Linked DNA regions of Oreochromis niloticus. The protein of the gene in region 1 purifies or fractionates together with the protein of each later gene. This does not show direct contact. Links are inferred from orthologs where the notes say so. Each region holds a gene or a part of one and is shown in the gene's direction. Other genes may lie near its edges.

Region 1 (10,407 bases):
TAAAACTCCAAAATCCAACATTACAACAACCCAGTTTATTCTACCAGCTACACATAAACTGACCTAAGTCATGCTAAAACTAATACATTACTGCCTGCAAGAGGAAACAATTCAAACTTTGTAATACCTGGTAAAACGTATCTTTGAGGAAACTGAATAATACGTTTCAAGATCTGGGGTTACAGTCATGAAAAGATGGCTTAGGCAAACTCTTTAATCATTATGTTTATTTTCTTTCATCATAACATTGCACTTTAATTAACATGAACACTGTAAATATGCCACATTTACCCATACACACTAATTCTTATCAGCAGACCGTGGTAAACAGACATAATTATATTATGTTATATTAACATGTTAAACAAAGTTATAAAAGCTCAAAACACAGAAGCTTCTGAAGACAATGTCAAAACCAGAGACAATTATTAGAAACTTTTTAACTCAAGGTACAGCTCTGAACTTACCTTTGAGCTGTAGCAAACACGCTGCAGGGAGCAGCTCTTGTACGTTCTCCACCGTGACGAGCACAGTCTCTGTGTAGACAAAGTCCAACAAGATCTCCATAGTGGATGCCGTGAGCCCCTGAATGTCGACAAAAGATTTCCCCTTTTCTGCAAGCTACAGAGCCACAACAACACATTTATTTGAAGGATTACTTTTGAGAATCATCCTGCATTTTAGGCAAATGTAACACCACCTTAAAACACCCAGAAAGGCCAACAAAGAAAAAAACAGAATAAAAGAGTGCATCAGGAATGTAACTGGGGCATCTATTTTTCAAACATTATTACCTCGCTAGTGAACATGGCACAAAAATAGTCACTGCAGGCAGCCAAGACGATTCGGTGAGCTGGAAAATCAGTGTTCTCCACCCTCAGAGTGATGTCGCAGAGTGTGTTGCTCTTGCGAAGTGAGTTCATTGCATTGAGGATGGATTTGGCATGGGAATTGGTCATGATGTCTTTGGGAGCCATGCTGCTTTGAGAATCCCTTACGGATCTCAAACTACTAAATGAATCTGGAAAAAAGACAGTCTATTTTGAAAACATCCTTTGGGAAGAAAGGTATTCCACAGTAAGCATAAAAGCACGCCACAATGTCACATTTTTATATACTGTACAAGCAAGTCATGCAGCTAGTGAGTGTGTGTGTCTGTCAGTAATTTGTCAGTTGGGTTGAACTGCTGGCTATTCACAAGATAAGTTTGTGACACTTTGTGGGAAATGATAACAGATTTTTGTCACTATTTTACACCCTTTTTACAACATTTTGTAAAAAAAAAAAAAAAACCCAAACCCCTCCCCCCCCAAAACCTAACTGCTAATGAAAATGTACATGAAAAAAACCCCACTTTATATTAACTTTTACATTATATAATACTTACTTTGTATATATATAATTTGTATTGTGTATTATTTCTACATTTTTTTCTTGGCAAGGACAAGAAATAGCATAATTTATTCTGCTTACAGGACAGCAATGGAGAGAAAATACTGACTATCATAGAAGCACTATAGTATTTATAGTGCTGTATTTGCTCGACTTCTTGATTTATTTCTTGCAAACAATGACTTGACTTATTAAGGGGGAAAAAAGCTATCCAATCCTACCTGGCCCTGTGTAAAAACAGAATTGTTACCCTTGTTAAATCATGAATTAACTCCAATTAACCACATTTTTGGAAATCAGAGTTCAATTACACTTGCCACACTTTGGTCTGATTACTACCACACCTACTGAATCAAGAAATCACAAGAATAGAACCTGCCTGACAAAGTAAAGTAGCCCAAAAGTGCTCAAAAACCAACATATCATGCCATGATCAAAACAGATGAGAACCAAAGTCACTGACGTCCATTTCTAAGGCTTTGGGACTCCAGTGAACCACAGTGAGAGCCACTAACCACAAATGAAGAAAAAATTGGAACAGTGGTGAACATTCACCAGAGTGGCCAGCCTACCAAAATTACTCCAAAAGCCCATCGATGACTGATCCAGGAGGCCTTAGGCATGTCTCACATTTGCCAAAGAACATCTAAATAAACCCCAGAACTTTTGAAAAAAAAAATACTCTGAGGACTAAAGTTGAACCTTTGAAAGGTTTGTGTCCTGTTACATCTGATGTAAGACTAACACAGCATTTCACAAAAAGAACATCATGCCAACAGTGAAACACGGTGGTGGTAGTGTGATGGTCTAGGGCTTCTTGCTGTAATTCATGGAACAATGAATTCTGCTCTCTACCAGAAAATCCTGAAGAACAATGTGAAGTCATCAGTTTGTCCCATGGAGCTCAAGCATAACTTGGTGCATAACATGAGTTATGCAGCAGGATCTGAAACACATTAACAAGTCTGCCTCTTAACGGCTCAAAAAAATAAGATTTTGGACCGGCCTAGTCAAATTTTAGACTGAAACCAGATTAAGATGCTTTGGCATGACCTTAAACTGGCCACTCATACTTGAAAACCTTCTAATGTGGCTGTATTAAAATCATTCTGCAAAGAAGAGTGGGTCAGATTTTCTCCACATGTGAAAGACTCATTCCCAGTTATCACAAAGACTTGACTGCGGTTCATCCTTCCAAGGGTGGTATAACAAGTTATCAAGGTTGTAGAGGGCAATTACTTTTGTCCACACAGGGCCGGGTAGGTATGAATATCTTTACTCCCTGAATAAATTAAATCATCATTTAAAAACTGCATTTTGTATTAACTGAGATTACATTTGCCTAATTTTAAAAGTTCTTTGAAGATTTCAAAAATGAAAAAAATAACAACTCAGAAATGGGGGAAATACTTTTCTCATCACTCTACTTCTTGTAGAAAGGTTTAAATGATCAGTTATTTCTATGAATAAATGCAGCATATTTAATAATGCTAGTCAAATAAATATGTGTTTTTTTTCCTTTCCAGACTTTACATTTTTGGAACATTTTTCCACTACAGTCTTGCAAATAAAACTTACCGTTAAAAGATCTGAATACTTTTTCCACCACTGGGAGGCAATAACTATAGCTACACATTAGCTAGCAGCAGCCAACGACAGCTGACGGCTAACGCCAACGCTAACAATAACAACTACGAAAACACAGCAATATAAAGTGAGCTGACGGCCAGAGGAAGACAACACATGGAGCGACACACACACAAAACAACTTATAATAATACCTGTCGCAGCAGTAAAAACGTCTAGCTAAGTTGCTCAGCTAGCTAACGTTAGTAGCACCAAAGTCCCCCTGTCCCAGTTCTTTGCTCCCAGTCGCACTGCCTAAACAAAGCCCCTCAACTACAGCTACTCCATGACGACCTCTGCCGGGTCACTCTATGCACGGCCACCGTGAGGACACATATATCGGAACGGCATCATATTAAATCCCGATGGGATTTTTATCCAGCTATAATATCCCGTTGACTAAACTGCAGCAGCAGAGCAGCGACTCCACAGATTGGACGTAAACAGACCATTACGTGAGTGTACGTGCGCGTCCCCCGAGGAGACCGCCCAGACGCGTTTCGCTCCAGAAACAAGATGCCTTCCGCGCATGCCCGCTGGTCGGCCTCAACTGCTGCTGTAGGAATAGTAAAATAGCCGTCTCACTCAAACTAAGTGACAAATCCGGATTTGACGGGGGCTTATAAACCCAAAGTGACACACAGAGAAACGCAGGAGGAATTTTATCTCTTAAAAAAAAAAAAAAATTCTGCTCTCTTTTTTTTGGTCACCCAAGGACGGCAGCTACAGCAGCAGGAGGAGGAGTTAGCGGCGTGTTTCCGCTAAGAGCAGGCCGAGACGGTAATCTATGCAGCCGCACTGAGAATTACAAAACAGCGGCAGACCAGTTGGCAGCTACTGCGAATAGTTTGACTGAAATTTGTTTAATCTTCGGGGACTTTTGGTTGTTCGTATCGGGAGGCTAAACAACGAGAGAGTGAGTGGCAGCTGGACTGTCAGCGATGGAAGCTGAATTTCGGGAAATCGATGAAAACGGCAGCTGGAACGCCATTTATCAGGTAAGAGCTCTTGGCAAATTAAGGTGGAAATAATCAGACCGTAGCTGAAGCTGGTTAGGCCAACGTGTAGCTTATGTAAGGTGAGGTGGTAGCTATAGTTTCTCTGGCTATATCAGTGTGTTGGTGTTTAGTTCAGCGCCTGTTCTTCCTGCTCGGAGTTAACCGATGATTGATGCGTCTGCCCGGGTATAAAGGCAGCAGCTCAACGCTGACTGACGTCATACATTTTTTGGACGTACTAACTTATTTTTAATGATTTGTTCTCAGTTTCGTCTAACATTTCCATTCCGCTGTTAATCGGCAGCTTATTATAATTATTATAAATGTTTGTAATACATTACATAGGGGTATAACACACCTGAAACCGAGTGAAATCGCGATACAAACCTCCAAAATATCGTATCGCGGTTCTATCTCTCCCATACCATGATACACGTAAGGTGTAAAATGCCATAGGTAACAATTCAAATGGAAATGCATCACAATAATGGTAGAAATTTTCCTCTATGAAAAACTTTGCCACATTCTAAAGAAGTTTTAGCCTTTCATAAAAGAGAATTATTAATTTTTGTTGAATGGGGTTTGATTTACTCAAACTTAAATGCATTGTTAAGGGTTTTCAGTGGGGTTAATTTAGAAAAAATAAATTTCTGACAGAACAAATAACCAAAAAAAACCCCAACTGAAACCTGCTTTGAGCCAGGAATCCCCCTCTCCCCAATATACTATTGCATACAGGATTCATTAGTCTGTTATATGTGCCATACAGCTTCTATTTTAATTCTTTAAGACCATATCCTAAAACTTAAAATTAAAAGTACCCCCTGGGAATTTTTTTGTGAGCTAGCAAAAGTACTGTTCAAAACATTTACCAACACATTAAATATTTTCTGTACATTTGTGGTCTACTAAACATGTCAAAGGCATTCACTTCCTCATTTATGATATGAAGTGTACTGTTTAGTTGGGGTTTTTTTCTTTCTTTCTGCGTATAAGAAAATTTGACCTGCTACGCAAACTTCATGTAATCACCCCAAAGGCTCATTTTGAGCCAGGAAATGCTCTTAATGGAGCTAAATTGTTATTCGTAATTCAGTCTTGATCAAACGATCAGACCTGTTGTGGACTTTGGTTTTCTCCCTCGTGTCTTTGTTATTTATCCCTGCTGAAGAAAATTGAATAAACTGAAACTGTGGAACATAAGGTTATGGACTATGATTGGTCATTGAGTCAAATCTCAATCATCTCTCTATTATTTACAAACTTTACAAACATTATGCAGTGGCTGAAGTTAAAACTGTGTTGTTGTTGTTGTTTTTTCACATGGAATCTTCTTTAACTGTTACATAATTCAAATAACATAGAAAAAAACTGTTCAGTAGGCAGGGCTTTGGATTATAAAGCCAGACCAGGTGATGGTCCCTACAAGCCCATAGCTTCCATAGCGGAATGTTTGTGGGTCCAGATGGGCGAAACGCTGTAATAGAGTTCGGCCGTCTTGGGAAACCTTTAAAGCAGCCTCAGATGAACCACAGAGAACTGAAGCTGACCGCAAACTGTTCAGCATTGCCAAAAGCAGATAGGGTGACAGGCCCTAAGTGATCTAGAGTTGGAAACGGCTGCAGTCAACCATTAATAATCTTTCCACAGGTTCACCTACCTATGCCTTGAAACTTTTTGTCCCGCTGTTTAGCTCTCTTGCAGTTATATTGCCTGCAACTGAACTAAACCGCAAGTTTAAACTTTTTAGGAAGAGGTGAAAGCAAAATAGGTGGGCTTGGAACATGTATATCATGAAACAATAAAAACAATGAAAATGAATGTTGTTTCTTGTTTTCATAATTGTTGGAAGTCAGAATTGACATTTAAATTAAACTTTCATTAACCACCCTAAGAAAGCAACCAGCAAATTTCTGGTTTCAGAAATTTGATAACCCCCTCCTCATATTTTAGGGTAGTCTAAATACAAGCTTTTGACAGTGTTAGTATTGAGGCAAATATAATCCTGATTGTTATTGAGATAGCTAGAGGAAATTGTAAAAGGGTCATCAGTGAATGTCATCATTGTTTTGTTTGTTTGTTTGTCTTAAAGAATACAGCAGTCACACTCAGAGCTTTTTAATGTGGAGTGGATGTTGTTTTGTTGTTGTTGTTGTTTTTTTTAAACAAAACGAAAAAAACCCTGCAAAAACACCAAAACTCTGCTTTAATGCTTGTTTTCCTCCTTTTATTCTGTTACAGGAGATTCGGCAGCAGTCGAGTGAATTCCCTTGTAAGGTTGCCAAATCACCTGAAAACAAGAATCGGAATCGATACAGAGACGTTAGCCCGTGTAAGTTTGTCTTTGCTTGCCTCAGTGTGCTGGACCGCAGAGTCTGAAACACTTAAAATATTCCCACAACTCTCAAGGTGTTTTAGCCACTAAAATTACATTTAGGACCTCATTATATACTCGTATACTGGTTTCATTTATCTAGGGCAGATATTTTAAAATGTTTTCATGTAATTAACTAGGGTTTTCAGTGATTTTAAGCATCACAGTTATGCCAGGTTTTTATGCCAAACCTTCTGTAGAACAGATACATTACCTGAAACTTAACCTGCCTCTTAAAGCTAGCACCATGCACACAGAGGTTGGTCACAGGGATATAGTATTTGGGTAACTGTGATAGAAACATTGTCCAAATGCCCCTGAAAGTAGCAGATTTGTTTGTGTCCTGCCTGCCAGCTCTGGTTGCTCAGTTGTCAAACCGCATGTGCTTCAGGATATCTCTGAATCTTGCTCTGCATCTGTGAACTGTGGTTCATTGCAAAACATTAAAGTGAGTGAGTACAAGTGGAAAATTACAATAAAATCAAACACTGTTATGTTTTTAAAAAAAAACAACATGCTCACATTTTCACACAGCTTTCTATTATCTTTGCCACACCAAAGGGGTTATTCGTGTAAGAAACTATGAAAAGTTGTGGAATGGCAAATGTCATGTCATGTCATGTCATGATAGGAACATTTTTCTGATTCAAAATATCACAAAGGCACATATAAATATACAGCTGGGGTGATAATGCGACCTCATTTGAATACTTGAAGGTTAAGTGAATGCCACTGTGGGTCTCTTTGCTTGGTACTCTACCCGCAGTGTTGAAGGGTCTGTAATCTCCTATTTATGTTTAAACATCTGTGGTGAAGTCACAGCATTATGCAGCATTATATAAACACCTAAGCTGTCTGCTGTTTTAGTAGGTACAAGCACTGTAATATCAGTTTGAAGTCAAGTAAAGGTAGTATTGCGCAATAGAAACAGCCTTGCATGACTCTAACTGGCGTGGCATAGTATTTCCAGCTAATTTATTACTGAGTGTCTCAAAAACACCTACACAAGGGGAAGATCAGGGAAAGGGGAAATTAAGTTTTTTTTTTTTTTTTTTTTTCAGCAATGTTTTTAGTATCATCTATTTTTTTAAGCCTTGAAATAAATGGTAAAATAAAAAGCAAAAACAGAAACAAGCATTTCCTCTATTTCCTCTCTTTTTTTATCTTATAAATATATGGTTATCCATAACCACACAGCTCCTTTTTTTTGTATGTTACATAAAAAGTGAGCGTATATACTGAAGCATAATTCATTCATAAATATTAATTTAAAAAATAATCTTTTTTCTGAATTGAGGATATATCTTAAAAATCTTAAAGGAGCCACTGTTTTTTGTGAGCTTGATTTCATTAACAGTATTGGCCTCATTGGGACTTACTGGTGTCTTTGACCAATATTTTGGTACTGTTACAAGCTGTGTGCTGGATATTATGCTGTTACTTCAGGATATAAATCCGTGTATCTAAAATATATTCTTACTGGCAGTTTGGTGACCATACACAGTATAAAAGGATGCACGTGGATAAAAGCTGAATTTTGAAGCTTTAAAGTTAGTTTTGGCCACTATCATAATGTTATGATGTTTTTTGGGAGCTAGAGTTGACCTTATATGCATGAAAGGGTGAAGGGCTGAGTTTACAGGTACAGTTTTTTTTAGCAACATCAATGAACTGTTAATTAATACAGTAGCAGGAAACACTCAACAAAAAGGAGCACAAACTTTGTGACTAGTTTGTACCACACATTAGTTATTAGTCAAATGATCTCCATTAAAAAAAGCTCAGTGACTCCAGTTAGTGGAGGTGTACATCAGCTACATGTAAGTACACTTGTCAATCAACACAATGACTAAGCTAACTCAATAACTCAATTATCTAAGTGAATGAGTTTCCTCTTTTTTTTTTTTTTTTTTTTTTCTTCTCTACACCAAGTTGTAAATATATATTTTAATGCTGTAAATTTGGGCGTTTTGACAGGGGAGTCTGTTGGGAATTACTCGCTTTTAGAGTCAACCTCAAGTGTTCTCTAGAGGATCTGTAGTTTCTGCCACTTCTGTGTTTTCAGCTCCGGAAGTTTCCCTCTTGCTGGTGACTCAAAGAACACAAAGATACCAAATGATTTTTGCAATATGTATTTTTTGATCATGAATCTTTTTTGTGTTTTTTGCTTGTTTGTTTGCTTTTTTGTTTGAATTTTCTATAGCAGTTTGGCATTTAAAATACAAGGTTCATTATACTCATGTGTTCTTTTTGGGTACAAATCAGATAGCTTTGGGTCTAGTGCACTTCCTCTTGTGATAATTTTCTCACAGGTCACGCTGACCTCTTCTCAAAATCTTTCTACTGCTGGAGACTTTGCAATAACTGAAAGCCTCATGTCAGCTTCAGCAGATAGTCAGGTTGCAATGAACTTTCTACAAAACGTCCTAACAGCTGAACTACAGAGTTTCCTCTTTTTCACACTCAATAAGCCATGCAAATTTTTTTTTTTTTTCTCAGACTGGGTTGCAAATAGTTACCGTAAATACCAACAAGGGTTTTCTTATTCCCCTTTACCAGATATGAAAATCAGGAACCTGAAACTTTTTTTATACTGCTAACCTTTTACCTAAAAGGTTCTTCACTGGAAATCATAAAAAGCTAATCTCACAATAGTTAACATCTTTAGTTTGTATGAAGATGCTTGTTAAGTGTTCCCTACAGCTGTTTTGGTCTGAGAATTGCATTTCTAGTCCCTGGTGGGTTGTGGCATTTAAATTTTTTTTTTAAAAAGTTCATATGCATATTTTCATATTTCTTTTGTTTTTTCTCTTTTCAGTTGATCACAGCAGAATACATCTGCAGTTAGGTACAAATGACTACATTAATGCCAGCCTAATAACCGTAGAAGAGGCACGGAGGAACTATATCCTTACTCAGGTAAGTGTAGAAAAGATTCAGTACTGAAAATTCAATATTTCCTCTAATTCAGAGAGACAGTGACAGAAAAATCCAAACCTTTAAGTCAGTATTTTCTCATTGTATAAGATAATTTGGTTTCCTGGTTGGCCTAATGACCATAATATCTTGTATTTTATAGTTTCGCCTTATTTTATGTCCTTGTCTGCAACATTTATAAAATATGCAAAGTTATTAGTTTGTTAGGCACACAGAGCTAAAGATGAGGCCACTCTAATGCAGTAACTCAGCATGAGGTCCTCCCTTTATGAAGGTCATAATTCTTAGTTTCTGCTGACACCGTTTTTTTAAGGTTTTGATTCGGCTTTTATGATAAATTTAGAATCTTTTCGTTTGTTGTGCTTTTAAATGATGGAGGTGTTTCTTTTCATTCTACCCTCATCGTTAAAAGTCGAGGTTTATCATGTTTTTATAGCTTTCAAGTCGTCCTCAGCATCAATGAGTCGACCTTCTGGTTAGAGTGACACTGCAGGGCTCGCAAAATTTGAAAATCCCTGGTAGCCCTTCGGGCAGGGACTCTTCAGTTTGTGGTAGCCCAAAATAAATTTAAGTAGCCCGAATAAAAAAGAGAGCAATTTTTTGATTGATGTTTTGTTTCCTGTTTTGTTTCCGTTACAATATTATACATTAAAGTATAATATTGTAACGGAAACAAAACATTAATCAAAAAATTGTTGAAACACAAATTACAACATTGTATAAAAATTACAATCATCAACTCAAATACTTGGTTCTAATTGAACAGAAATTTCTATGAACTTGTAAGAACTGTGTAGAACATGAATCAGTCTGTGTCAGGTCCTGAATTTGAAATTTCCACTGAAGTCATGGGTAAGGGGTAAGTGGAACCAAGTTTGTAAAGACTGCTAAATTTTGCCAATGGTAGTTCACTCTGTGCAACATAGTACGCTGTTCTAAACAGATTTTTCAGGTTTATTTTTGGTATGTTCTTTGCAATTGGTGTTTGTTTTGGGAAAGATATTGCAGACTGAGCAATAATGCATTTCTTGCATTTCTCATGGGTTCTAATGGGGGTCTTTCTTAAAATTACTGGTCCCA
Region 2 (10,407 bases), on another chromosome or scaffold:
CTGAGCAAAGGTATAAGACCTTTCAGAGTCTTATATTCTATCTCCTCTCCTTTTTGTTGTATTTATAGACCCTCCAGGCCACTAAAAGGCTGGAGACATTGTGATGGTAGGATGTGAGCAGTTGGTGATGTTTGCTGATGATGTTCCTGGAGGAGCTTTGCAAATCATTTGAAGTGTTAATGAACATAATATATGACTTTGGCAAATTTTCAGTATACAAAATTAATATATCAAAAACACAGGGGATGACTTCAGATTTTACTGTCCCAAGATGTACGTCAGGACAAGTACAGCCTCTGATAGGGAGGCGACCATAAAGACACAATTACAACCCCTTGTCCTCTAAGATAAAATTATATTTGCACCGATGGCACACTAGGATAAGGGCAGTGAAGATGAAAACTCCAAATGTCGATCTGCGGGACCAGCACCCCATTTCCATTTCAATTTGACACACAGTATATTTAAGATGGGCGATGTTCTGCAGATGACAAAAACAGCTTCTAAAAAGGTAGTCAACATGCTGATTTCTCACAGTGGGGAAACTAAACATGAGAGTGGGCCAAGATTTTTAGTTACTGTGTTAGGTGCACAGATCAGAACTTTAAATCAGAGAGACTTTTTTGTATTCAAAGAGAGAAAATATCCTTTTTTTATAACATGAATGCAGTCTTGAAGTATAGATAATGTGGCTACATTCTGGGGTTTGAAGGGCATGTACATCTGAATATCATCTGCATAACAACGATATGAGAAGATACTGAACTTGTGCCCAAGTGAGAGCATGGATAGGTCCCGGGGCTGAAAAACTCCTGTGAGAGAGATTGGAAGAAAAACAGTCAAGACCTACAAATGGCCACCCAAGTCAATCCGAACACCATGAACAACAGTGTTAAAGGCAGCAGAGAGATCAAAAAGTACAAGGACGGAATATTCACCTACATAAGAAAATGGCCTAAAATTCTCAAGGAGGGAGAGGTCAGCATTGAGGGACACATTCAGAGGTGAAAGAATTATTCATCACCTTAAGAACAAGTGGTGCATTGGTGTGTGAGACCTTTTTGAACAGTCAAGTTGGTAAAGTGTCAAGTGGGCAAAAGAATGCCTTCATTTTATCAACCAAACTGACGAGACTGTTCAGAGAGATTGGTGCAAAGAGTGATGACCAGCTAATATTTGCTTGATATTATGGGTCTTATTAACACAGAAAGAAAGTTTTCACACTCTTTATTTGACTGAACAGTTGGAGCAGGACGTTCAGACATGACAATGTTTCTGATTGTGTCAAGTAAAACTTTTGAATTCTCTTGGCTGTTTTAGATAAAATTTGAAAAATATGTAGCCTTCACATTTTTGGATATTATTAAAAGAATGTAAGAGCTCTTTAGATCACAAAGATGCAAATTTATTCTTTGATTGTTTTTTCTGTTGGGAACAAAACATTTTTACAACAATTTTGTTGTTCTATAAGGATCGGGACAGGAAGAGACTGAACAGGCTGATCCGAAGGGCCAGCTCTGTTCTAGGATGCCCTCTGGACCCAGTGGAGGTGGTGAGTGACAGGAGAATGGTGGCTAAGCTGTCATCCCTGTTGGACAACATCTCCCACCCCATGCATGAGACTGTGAAGGCACTGAGCAGCTCCTTCAGTGGGAGACTGCGGCACCCACGGTGTGGGACGGAGAGATTTCGCAGGTCTTTCCTCCCCACTGCTGTCAGACTCTACAATAAAGACTTTTGCAGCTGATCAAACACACAAACCCACACATGTGCAATAAGACTGCTATACGTGCAATTCTTCTTCTGACGAAGTTGTGTTTTTGTATTTTCCTACTCAGTTGTATATAGTATTTGTATTTCTATTTTATTCTATTGTATATATTATTCTATTCTATTTTATTCTATTGTATATAGTATTTTATTTTATTTTATTGTATTTTATTGCATTCCAGTGTTTTCTAATTTCTGCTACATAACTTTGCACTTTTGCTGTAACAAAACAAATTTCCCACCTGTGGGACTAATAAAGGCCATCTTATCTTATCTTATCTTATCTTATCTTATCGTGGTCGTTGATGGACCTACACTGACCTCATATCAAATTTGTAGATAGATTTAGCCTATGTTTCTATGTTTAGTTTCAAACCCTTTAAGCTGAGAGAACATTTTTATTTACAGCTTGTTTTAAGTGTGATAGAGACTCAGTCCTGGGGGGAATACCCTTTATATGTGCAGGTTAAGTCTACAGAACTAAAACCGCTGAGTGAAACTGCATGCATTGCATTGTCACAGAAACATGCACAGTTCAGATTAGATTAGATTAGATTAGATGAAACTTTATTAATCCCTCGGGTGGGTTCCTCCGGGAAATTCAGTTTCCAGTAGCAAAGCATCGAAAGAAGTTGCATGTTACAGATACAATAAGGGGAATGAGAGTAAGGATATTAGCATAAATACACCATATATACACATATACAAATATATAGATACAGAATATACAAAGGATTGCTCATTTGAATGAGTATATTGCACCGTGATTATTGCACAGTCGAATATAAGAAAAAAAAAAATATATATATATATATATATTGCAAATATTGCACAGTGTAAAAAAGCACCTACAGCTCAGTTGTTCCCGCCCTCCCTTGTCCCCCTGTTTCCCCTCCCTCTCCCCTCCAGAGAGGCGTTAAACAGTCTGATGGCCTGTGGGACAAAGGAGTTTTTAAGTCTGTTGGTTCTTGACTCTGGGAGAAGCAACCTGTCACTGAATAGGCTCCGTTGATTGTTTACGACCATGTGCAGAGGATGCCCAGCATCGTCCATAATGTCCAGGAGTTTCTTTAGTGTCCTTTTCTCTGCCACTGACACCAGAGTGTCCAGCTTCACAGACCACAGAGCCAGCCTTCCTGATTAGTTTCTCCAGCCTGGATGAGTCCTTCTTTGCTTCTTTGCTTCCTGTTACTTTGTAGAGAATTCCATATTTCCTTTATTAGACTGCGGGACAGAAACCCCAGGGGAAACCGTGGGTTAGCTTACCAAGTTGATAACAAGCTTTGTGTGACTGGCAGTCCCCCGGCACAGATTAGTAATACACCAGTAAGTGCCAGGATGATTGTCATGTTTTATACATTAAGGAAACCAAACAACCTCTGGCTAAGCACATGGCTTAAGGCAGAAGAGCTACCTCATTATCACCATCATTGATTATTATGTCTAAAGCAGGGTTAGATCTTAAACTAATTGAGCTAATTTAAGTTATAATTTAACTTATATATAAAAAACTTTACAGGTACTTTAAAATGAAAAAAACACAAAAAAACATATGCTATTGTAAAGTAAGTGCAGCTTTTATTTAATATTACACTTCGTTCACATGCTTATTTTTTGCATAGTTATTTAGATATGATAGATATTTGTGTGTTTTTTGGATGTACATTTATTCACTGACTCTGTTTTCGTGTTTAAATTCATTGTTACTGATCTCTTTGGCAATTCATTCATTCGTATATGCATTTGTACTTGACGTGTCAAAGTAAAAATAGATACATAATAATAATGACAATTTACTATTATTATTATTATTAGTAGTAGTAGTAGTATTGTAGCCACAGGTAGGTGGCAGTAATGCATCTCTATACTTGTTGTCAGCCGCCGATGAGGAAGAAGAAGCCGAAGCACAAGAAAAAGAAGAAGAAGAAGAAGCAGAAGACTTCGACCGAAAGACCGTGGGGAGCAGGCCGGTCGTTGTGTCCCAGTCATGGCGGGTTTCAGTAAATATCTGACAGCTAGGAACTCCTCCATAGCGGGCAGCATTTTGTTTGTGTTAGTCCTGCTGAAGCACAGGAAGCGGACCAAGTCAAATAGGTAAGTGGCTGCTGTTATGTGTCGCTCAGTAGCTGGTTGTCAGCAGTTTGCGACGACTGTCATGCTACTTAGGAGCGGCTAGCAGCTCATGCTGACAGGTGACTGCGACCTGCCGCTGCCTCGGTGCTCCCGAGTCTCCCTCAGGTTTTCTAAGCAGGCACGTTTTCTGTGTGCACTTTGGGGCCCTCTTGTTTCGGTCGGCATACATCCCAACACAAACAGAAGTAACGTGTGTTCCTGACACACTGTCGTAAACCCATGACTGGGCTGACTGGGAAACGACTTAGTTGTCAAATCTGTGGCTTGGTGTCTTCTACTATATCTTTCTAAGAAATGTCGTACTGTCAGCCAAAGTTGTGTGTGTGTGTGTGTATAATTTAATAAGGTAGTGTGTGTAGTTATCTGTCAGCCACAACAACATTAAACCCGCTGGCAGGTGAAGTGAGTAATGTTAATTGTGGGAAAGCTTACAGAAGTAACACTGCTCTGAGGCGGTGAAGGCGGAGGTTGTAGTCCCTGTGTGAATCCCGTAAATGGGCCTCATGCTACAGTATGGCAGGGGAGGCCACTGTTAACAGCGTGTTTCTGATAATCGTTCAACCCCGTCTTTTTCAGAGGAAGCTCAGATCTGGTGCTGAACACGCAGGTATGTTGAAACACCCTGACCTGAATGTTTAAAGTGTCCAAAGTCTACATAATACTTAGTTTGGTGCAATTGCTTTAATTCTTGTCTGTACCTCTTCATGTAGAAGGATGGCAAAAAAGATCGGGCAGCTGTGGACAAAGTTTTCTTTCTCCGGATCCTCCGGATTCTCCGGGTCTTGGTGCCTCGCGTTTTCTGCATGGAGGTAAGATGTGAAGACAAGCGAGTAGACTTGAACCAAGCTGTTACACTGCCTGCACTCACTGCTCTCTTATTTATTCATATATGTGCTTTTGTTAGATTCCAGGGCAGTGGACAGTTCTTTCATCACGCCAGTGTAGACATGCTGTACATTTCTTCTGATCGCTGTTAAATGATTATCAGGGGGAAAAACACACTGCATCCTTTATTCTAAAAAAATAGCAGAAAAGCCAGTACAGTGTAAAAAACAAGCCTTGACTGCTTTGTGAGCACATCCTGGTTCCTTCTTTCTAAGGACCAGAGACTGAAGAGCCATTACCCTACCAGGGCTCGGTGCCCATCTTATCTGCCGTGAGCTGAGATCACAGCTTCCAATATGTAGTTGATGACTTGGTGTTTTCACACCTATAGTTCTTTTACTCTGGTCTGTATCAGTTGCTGCATGTGTAGCTGGTCCCCATAGTTTGGTTTGTTTTCACACAGAAAAATCCAAATCTGTCTGCAGTGGGAGCAACAAAGGTTAGTTCAGGACGATGGTGTTGTGTTCTCAACTACAGGAGAACATGGAGAATTTCACAGCTTGCTTGCTAGCCCATACAGACCCTCACATATCTATAGTACCTTGCCGGATCCCACAATACACAACGTCCATGGCTCCGGCTTTGGTTCGTGTCACAGTGAGGTTACTGTGTTCACATCTTCACATATTTTTAAGTGAAATAAACACAGCAGGTGTGGACAGCATGTGTATAAATATGATACTTGGACAGTAATTACCTGATAATAAGATCGTAGTGATACCAACACTTCATCTTTGCTTCCTTCTGGTCAGCATTAATGTTGAAGACACATGTTGCCAGTCCTCCCATTTAAAAGTACTTGTGCCTGTGTTTCCCTCCCCGTGGTGTTAGATTGGCTGCTCTCTGACATTTTCATGGTTATTGGTATTACATTTGAAATTCTAGTTTTGTGACAGCCCTAATTACTGAGGTCCATTTGCCTTTCACCTATTTGACCAGTGATGACTGGGCCAACCATAAAACATTGGTATCTGGTAATGGTTCAAAGATACTTGGAAACTGTTTCCAAACCGTTACTCTGATTGCGTGTGCAGCAGAGCCCTTTGACACAGAAACAATAACTCCACAAGTCAAGGTCGCAGCCACATGGCTGCTCCTGGTTTCTTCTCGTCTTATCTCATCAGTTCATTAGATATGAGCAGAGTCAAAGGTAGGATAATAAACAACTGTGATTGACTGCAGTCTTTTACACACTCCACTAACTGTGGGCGCTGTTTCCCCTCTCCTCCACAGGCTGGCTACCTTATTTTTATTGCTGCCATGTTGGTGGCCAGAACCTACTGTGATGTGTGGATGATCCAGAATGGGACCATGATCGAAAGGTCAGGCTTCAGTGTTTAAGATAAGATGTTTGTTTTTGTTACAAAAGTAAATCAGACGACACAACAAAGATGATAAATCTATGTATGGGGGGTGGGGTAGTGTATATCACTGATGCTGATGCCCTACCTTGCATGTGGCGTTCCCGGGTTTCTCTGCTGCTAGTCACAGAATGAAAGTTTGAAAATGTAACGTTGATTTTGCTTTGCTGTCTTTACAGGAATTGATGAACTTTGTTTTGATTCTTCACAGTGGTATTATAAGCAGAGACAGCTCTCTATTCAACAGGCACTTTTTTTCCTACATATCAGTCATACCAGGGGTAACTGTCAACAAGTGCTTGTATTAGAAGTGGGGAAGCCATTAACATGGTAGTTTTAACATCTGCTTTGGAGTTGTTGTGCTTTGTGTGAGGTCTGCTTTCCTTTTGAGGTAAAACACTGACCTGTGGTCATCATGGTAATGTGTAACATCTTGGCATAGATTAACTGGAATGCTATTCAGTGTGTGCTTGTGCCTTGTTACTCCTGGTTTGGAAGCAGCCTGTGTCAGTCTGATTGTACATGTCAGAGTAATGAGCAGCACAGCCGGCTGTCTCTGAATCAGCAGGCTCGGCCTGCAGCTGATCAGACATGACGTGTAGTATGAACTTGTTCTGCTTCAGATACTGTGTGCGTTCAGAAGGGCCGTTTCATGTATCATGTGACCCTAGCACACAAAGCGCTGCGTACGAGTGCCGCCGGTCACAGATTGTATCTGATGAGAAACTGCTGGCTGAGAACATCTTTTTAGGAGCAGTGAAAGCCGTCGCACGCTGCATTGTTAAGAAGCGACTGAAGCTGAGAATTATTCAAATGCAGACTTGTTCTATGTACACTCTGCAAATGTGAGAAACCCCAGGAGAGCGAGCTGGGCCTGATGCTTCTAAGCAAGAAAAGACCGAGACTGTGGTTCGATCCATTTCTTCATGGTGGCAGCAGCAGGGAGAGCGTCATGGTTTGATCCAGGAGTCACTGAGGAGTTTTCAGAGAGCCAACTGACCAAGAGCATCGTCTAGCTGTTTGACTGAAGTACTGTTGCTTATAGATTTGATATTGGTGCAGATTTTGAATTACGAGCACACACACACTGCACTTGGGTATGGGTTGCGATATTTTTTTAATTTTTTTTGTGCGATTAGGTGGATCTGACAAATATTTGTAATGTATGTAACAAATCCAATTTAATGCCACTAGCCACTGTACGTCAGCCGTGGTACAGTAAAGCCTTTGGAGTCGGTGGCCCTCTATAGTCCAGTGCACAGCAGCTAATAACATGGAAATGCATAGATTGAATAGTGTTGCTCCGTGTCAGGATCCCACCGTCCTTCTGTTTGTGTCGTATCACATCATAAATTGCACACAGCAAGCTTCAGTGTTTGTCTCTGACCTTGGCTTTGTTTGCTCATCTTTGTTCTTGTTGTGGTTTGCAGTGCAATTATTGGTCGTTCGACTAAAGATTTCAAGATCTGCTTGTTGAAGTTTATTGAATTCATGCCAATTGTAAGTGTGAACTCTGAACTCCTGAGGTTTGTGACACTCCAACGTTGATTTCATGTCCATCTGTAGTTCATGCTCCCACATCTTTGTTGGAATGACAAATAATTCCATTTAAAACCAAAAACACACACTACCATGATTCTGCTTCGCTAACAGTGTGAATGAATGCCTGTGCAGCTGTGTGACTGACTGCTTTTCATGGTTGAGCTCTATGGCACAGAAATTGGTGTAATTATCATACTGACATAAACTGAGCATTGACTCTTCCCAGGCTGATTGTGTTGTTTAGTTTGCATGGCTTTCATGAAATCATGCTAGTTTGCTCCGTAGCCTTTGCCAGTAACTGTGGGTGGTCACCATAGCAGCTCTAGCTTTGTTATTGCCACGCTGTTCTCCTGGGAGCTTTCTTTTAATGTGTGACTGGCTGTTTCCAGATATCCTTGGTGAACAACTTCCTAAAGTTTGGTCTGAATGAGCTGAAGCTGAGGTTTCGTGAGAGGCTAACCCACCATCTCTACAACCAGTACCTGCAGTAAGTACACCAGTAATACTGTGCTCATCATGTCCAGAGGGTTTCACCTTCAGTGCCTGTGAGACAGGTGCATTGAGAGCAGCATGGTTAGGCTGGTGTATTTCAAGTTGAACTACAATTTCAAATGAAACGAGTGGCTTTGTTTGCTAAATCTGAGAAACAAATGTGAGACGGTGTCAGTTTTGGCTGTTGTGTTGAAGCCTCTCTGTCTCCCTGTGGTCACTGACACCAACACCTGGAACATGCATGTAAGCTGTGCCTGTGTGGGTGCAGCTAGGGCTGCTCGATTATGGCAAAAATGATAATCACGATTATTTTCACTGAAATTGAGATCTGGATTATTTGACGATATTTATTTAACAATAACAATGTATTGAATAATGGCTTTAAAGATTGTCAAAAAATAATATAAAATAGTGTGCAAATACTGATTACAGTGCAAATGTTTGCAATATAAAAAATAAATGAAAAATGTAAACATCTATGTTTAGTGAACTTCAAAATACTGCACAATATTTGATCCACGTCTGACTCCGCGAACCCATAATGTTTCCACCAATGTTCCCTCAAATCTTTCATGTGTCTGAGCGAACACACAAACTCCCTGAGCGTCCCTTGGACCACTGTGAGCGACATCAGACGTGTGCACTGTGGTCACGCCAGCATCTAATCCATCCAAGTTACATGGTTTATTAAAATAATCAAATCACAGCATTTACATTTATGTTAGACGACTTTTAATTAACTGCTTTAGCCCACTTACAATGAAAATTTAAAAAATCCTGTTCATGACCTGTGTAGTATGTTAACACTATTGGAAGTAAAAATAACTTGAACTCCAATTTTGAAAACACAACTTTCTTTCTTTTCTTTTTTTTCATAAAGCTCTGACTTGTATTATGAGTCTGTGGTCTGAGAGAGAGTCTGTAACTCTCTGTCTGCCAAATACAGTATATAATGACCAATGTTGGGCAATTAATTATATAGTTACTTCTTCAAAAAAGTAACTCAGTTTGGCAAACAACAAAGTTTTTTGCAGCTATTTATTTTTTTTACTGCAGCCAAGGCGTTTTTAAATAAACATTTCAAACTATTTACAGAACAATCAGCTGTTCTGCATCAAATCTGATGCCACACAAATTATTTGTGCCACTCCAAAAACTAATTTCTGTCCACTATGAGATAAAGGAGAACAACAGCCTGATACCTGCAGGCCTGACAACAGGAGATGTATCACTGCTGTAACACCTGTAACATTCAGCAGCCGCCTCATTGTTCTGACACACACAACAAAACTACACTACACACTAACTACACACTAACTACACAAGATTTGCGCTAAACGTCTCAAATCTCTCACATCTCAGAACACCGCCGTCACTCCTAAAACTTCCCCCCATTTCTTAACAACTAGATGCCACGTTGCCATACCATTTTTTGATTGGTCGACACGGTACATTTTTCGACCAATAGGAAAGGGTGGGGGGGGTTTGGTTTTGTTTTTGCTCACAGGCTTTCGAGCGTTTTCCTTATAAAACGCCGTTTTTACCGTTTCTTCCCGCAGTAAATATAAACAACGATAGTATTCAGGAAGAAAACCAAACATTGCAGATATTTTTATCATAACTCTGGTTTTACGTGGCCGATCAACACAATTTAAAAACTGGTATAAAGTCCACACTTTGTCCGTCAATTGTTCCGTCTGTCCTGCTCACATCTCCAATGGTTGGACACATTGTCATTAGCGTGGCTTCACTGCACATCAGCCACGCCGCTTTGCTAGCTAAAACACCGGTGTCGGCACATAAGGACGCTGTCATAGCCTGTCAGCGACGTTGATTAGCTGCGTATATACGAATGTGAATCGCATCATTGGCTGGACTATGGGATAAGGTGGCATCGTTCTAATCCCATACAGGAGCAGCCAGTCACTCACTGACTAACACTGCAAAACAGGATTGTTAAAGTTTTAATTTTAATTTCAATTCAGGTTAGATTTTTTTTTTGTGCGCAACGCAGATTTTCTGTGCGCAGAGACCGTGCCAGCAGTGCGCAATTGCGCACGTGCGCAGTTTAGAGGGAACATTGGTTTCCACACCACTGAAGTCGTTTTACCTCTTTTCAACCAACGGCATTCTTTCTTCAGCAGCCATTATCCTCTCCTCTCCAAATAACTTCTGCTTAGCTTTCCGAGCTTCCCTGGGGTCCTCTTAATTGTTGTGACGCGTG

Evidence for each region.
Region 2: the proteins of ptpn1 (region 1) and abcd3a purify together in Homo sapiens (affinity purification with mass spectrometry; 3 studies listed by BioGRID and IntAct, with this or other methods). This does not show direct contact. The link is inferred for Oreochromis niloticus from reciprocal best matches to the Homo sapiens genes PTPN1 and ABCD3.

The regions. Positions count from the first base shown.
Region 1 is NC_031984.2:10,039,796-10,050,202, reverse strand, and holds the start of ptpn1 (tyrosine-protein phosphatase non-receptor type 1), read left to right. Parts: upstream 1-3,555; 5' UTR 3,556-3,959; coding exon 3,960-4,016; intron 4,017-6,257; coding exon 6,258-6,348; intron 6,349-9,208; coding exon 9,209-9,309; intron 9,310-10,407. Other genes in the region: klhl12 (kelch-like protein 12), read right to left, coding at 468-621, 795-1,021, 2,971-3,028. UniProt on the Homo sapiens protein: Tyrosine-protein phosphatase which acts as a regulator of endoplasmic reticulum unfolded protein response. Mediates dephosphorylation of EIF2AK3/PERK; inactivating the protein kinase activity of EIF2AK3/PERK.
Region 2 is NC_031974.2:34,984,485-34,994,891, reverse strand, and holds the start of abcd3a (ATP-binding cassette sub-family D member 3a), read left to right. Parts: upstream 1-3,675; 5' UTR 3,676-3,757; coding exon 3,758-3,864; intron 3,865-4,479; coding exon 4,480-4,510; intron 4,511-4,613; coding exon 4,614-4,712; intron 4,713-6,021; coding exon 6,022-6,110; intron 6,111-7,579; coding exon 7,580-7,649; intron 7,650-8,080; coding exon 8,081-8,178; intron 8,179-10,407. UniProt on the Homo sapiens protein: Broad substrate specificity ATP-dependent transporter of the ATP-binding cassette (ABC) family that catalyzes the transport of long-chain fatty acids (LCFA)-CoA, dicarboxylic acids-CoA, long-branched-chain fatty acids-CoA and bile acids from the cytosol to the peroxisome lumen for beta-oxydation.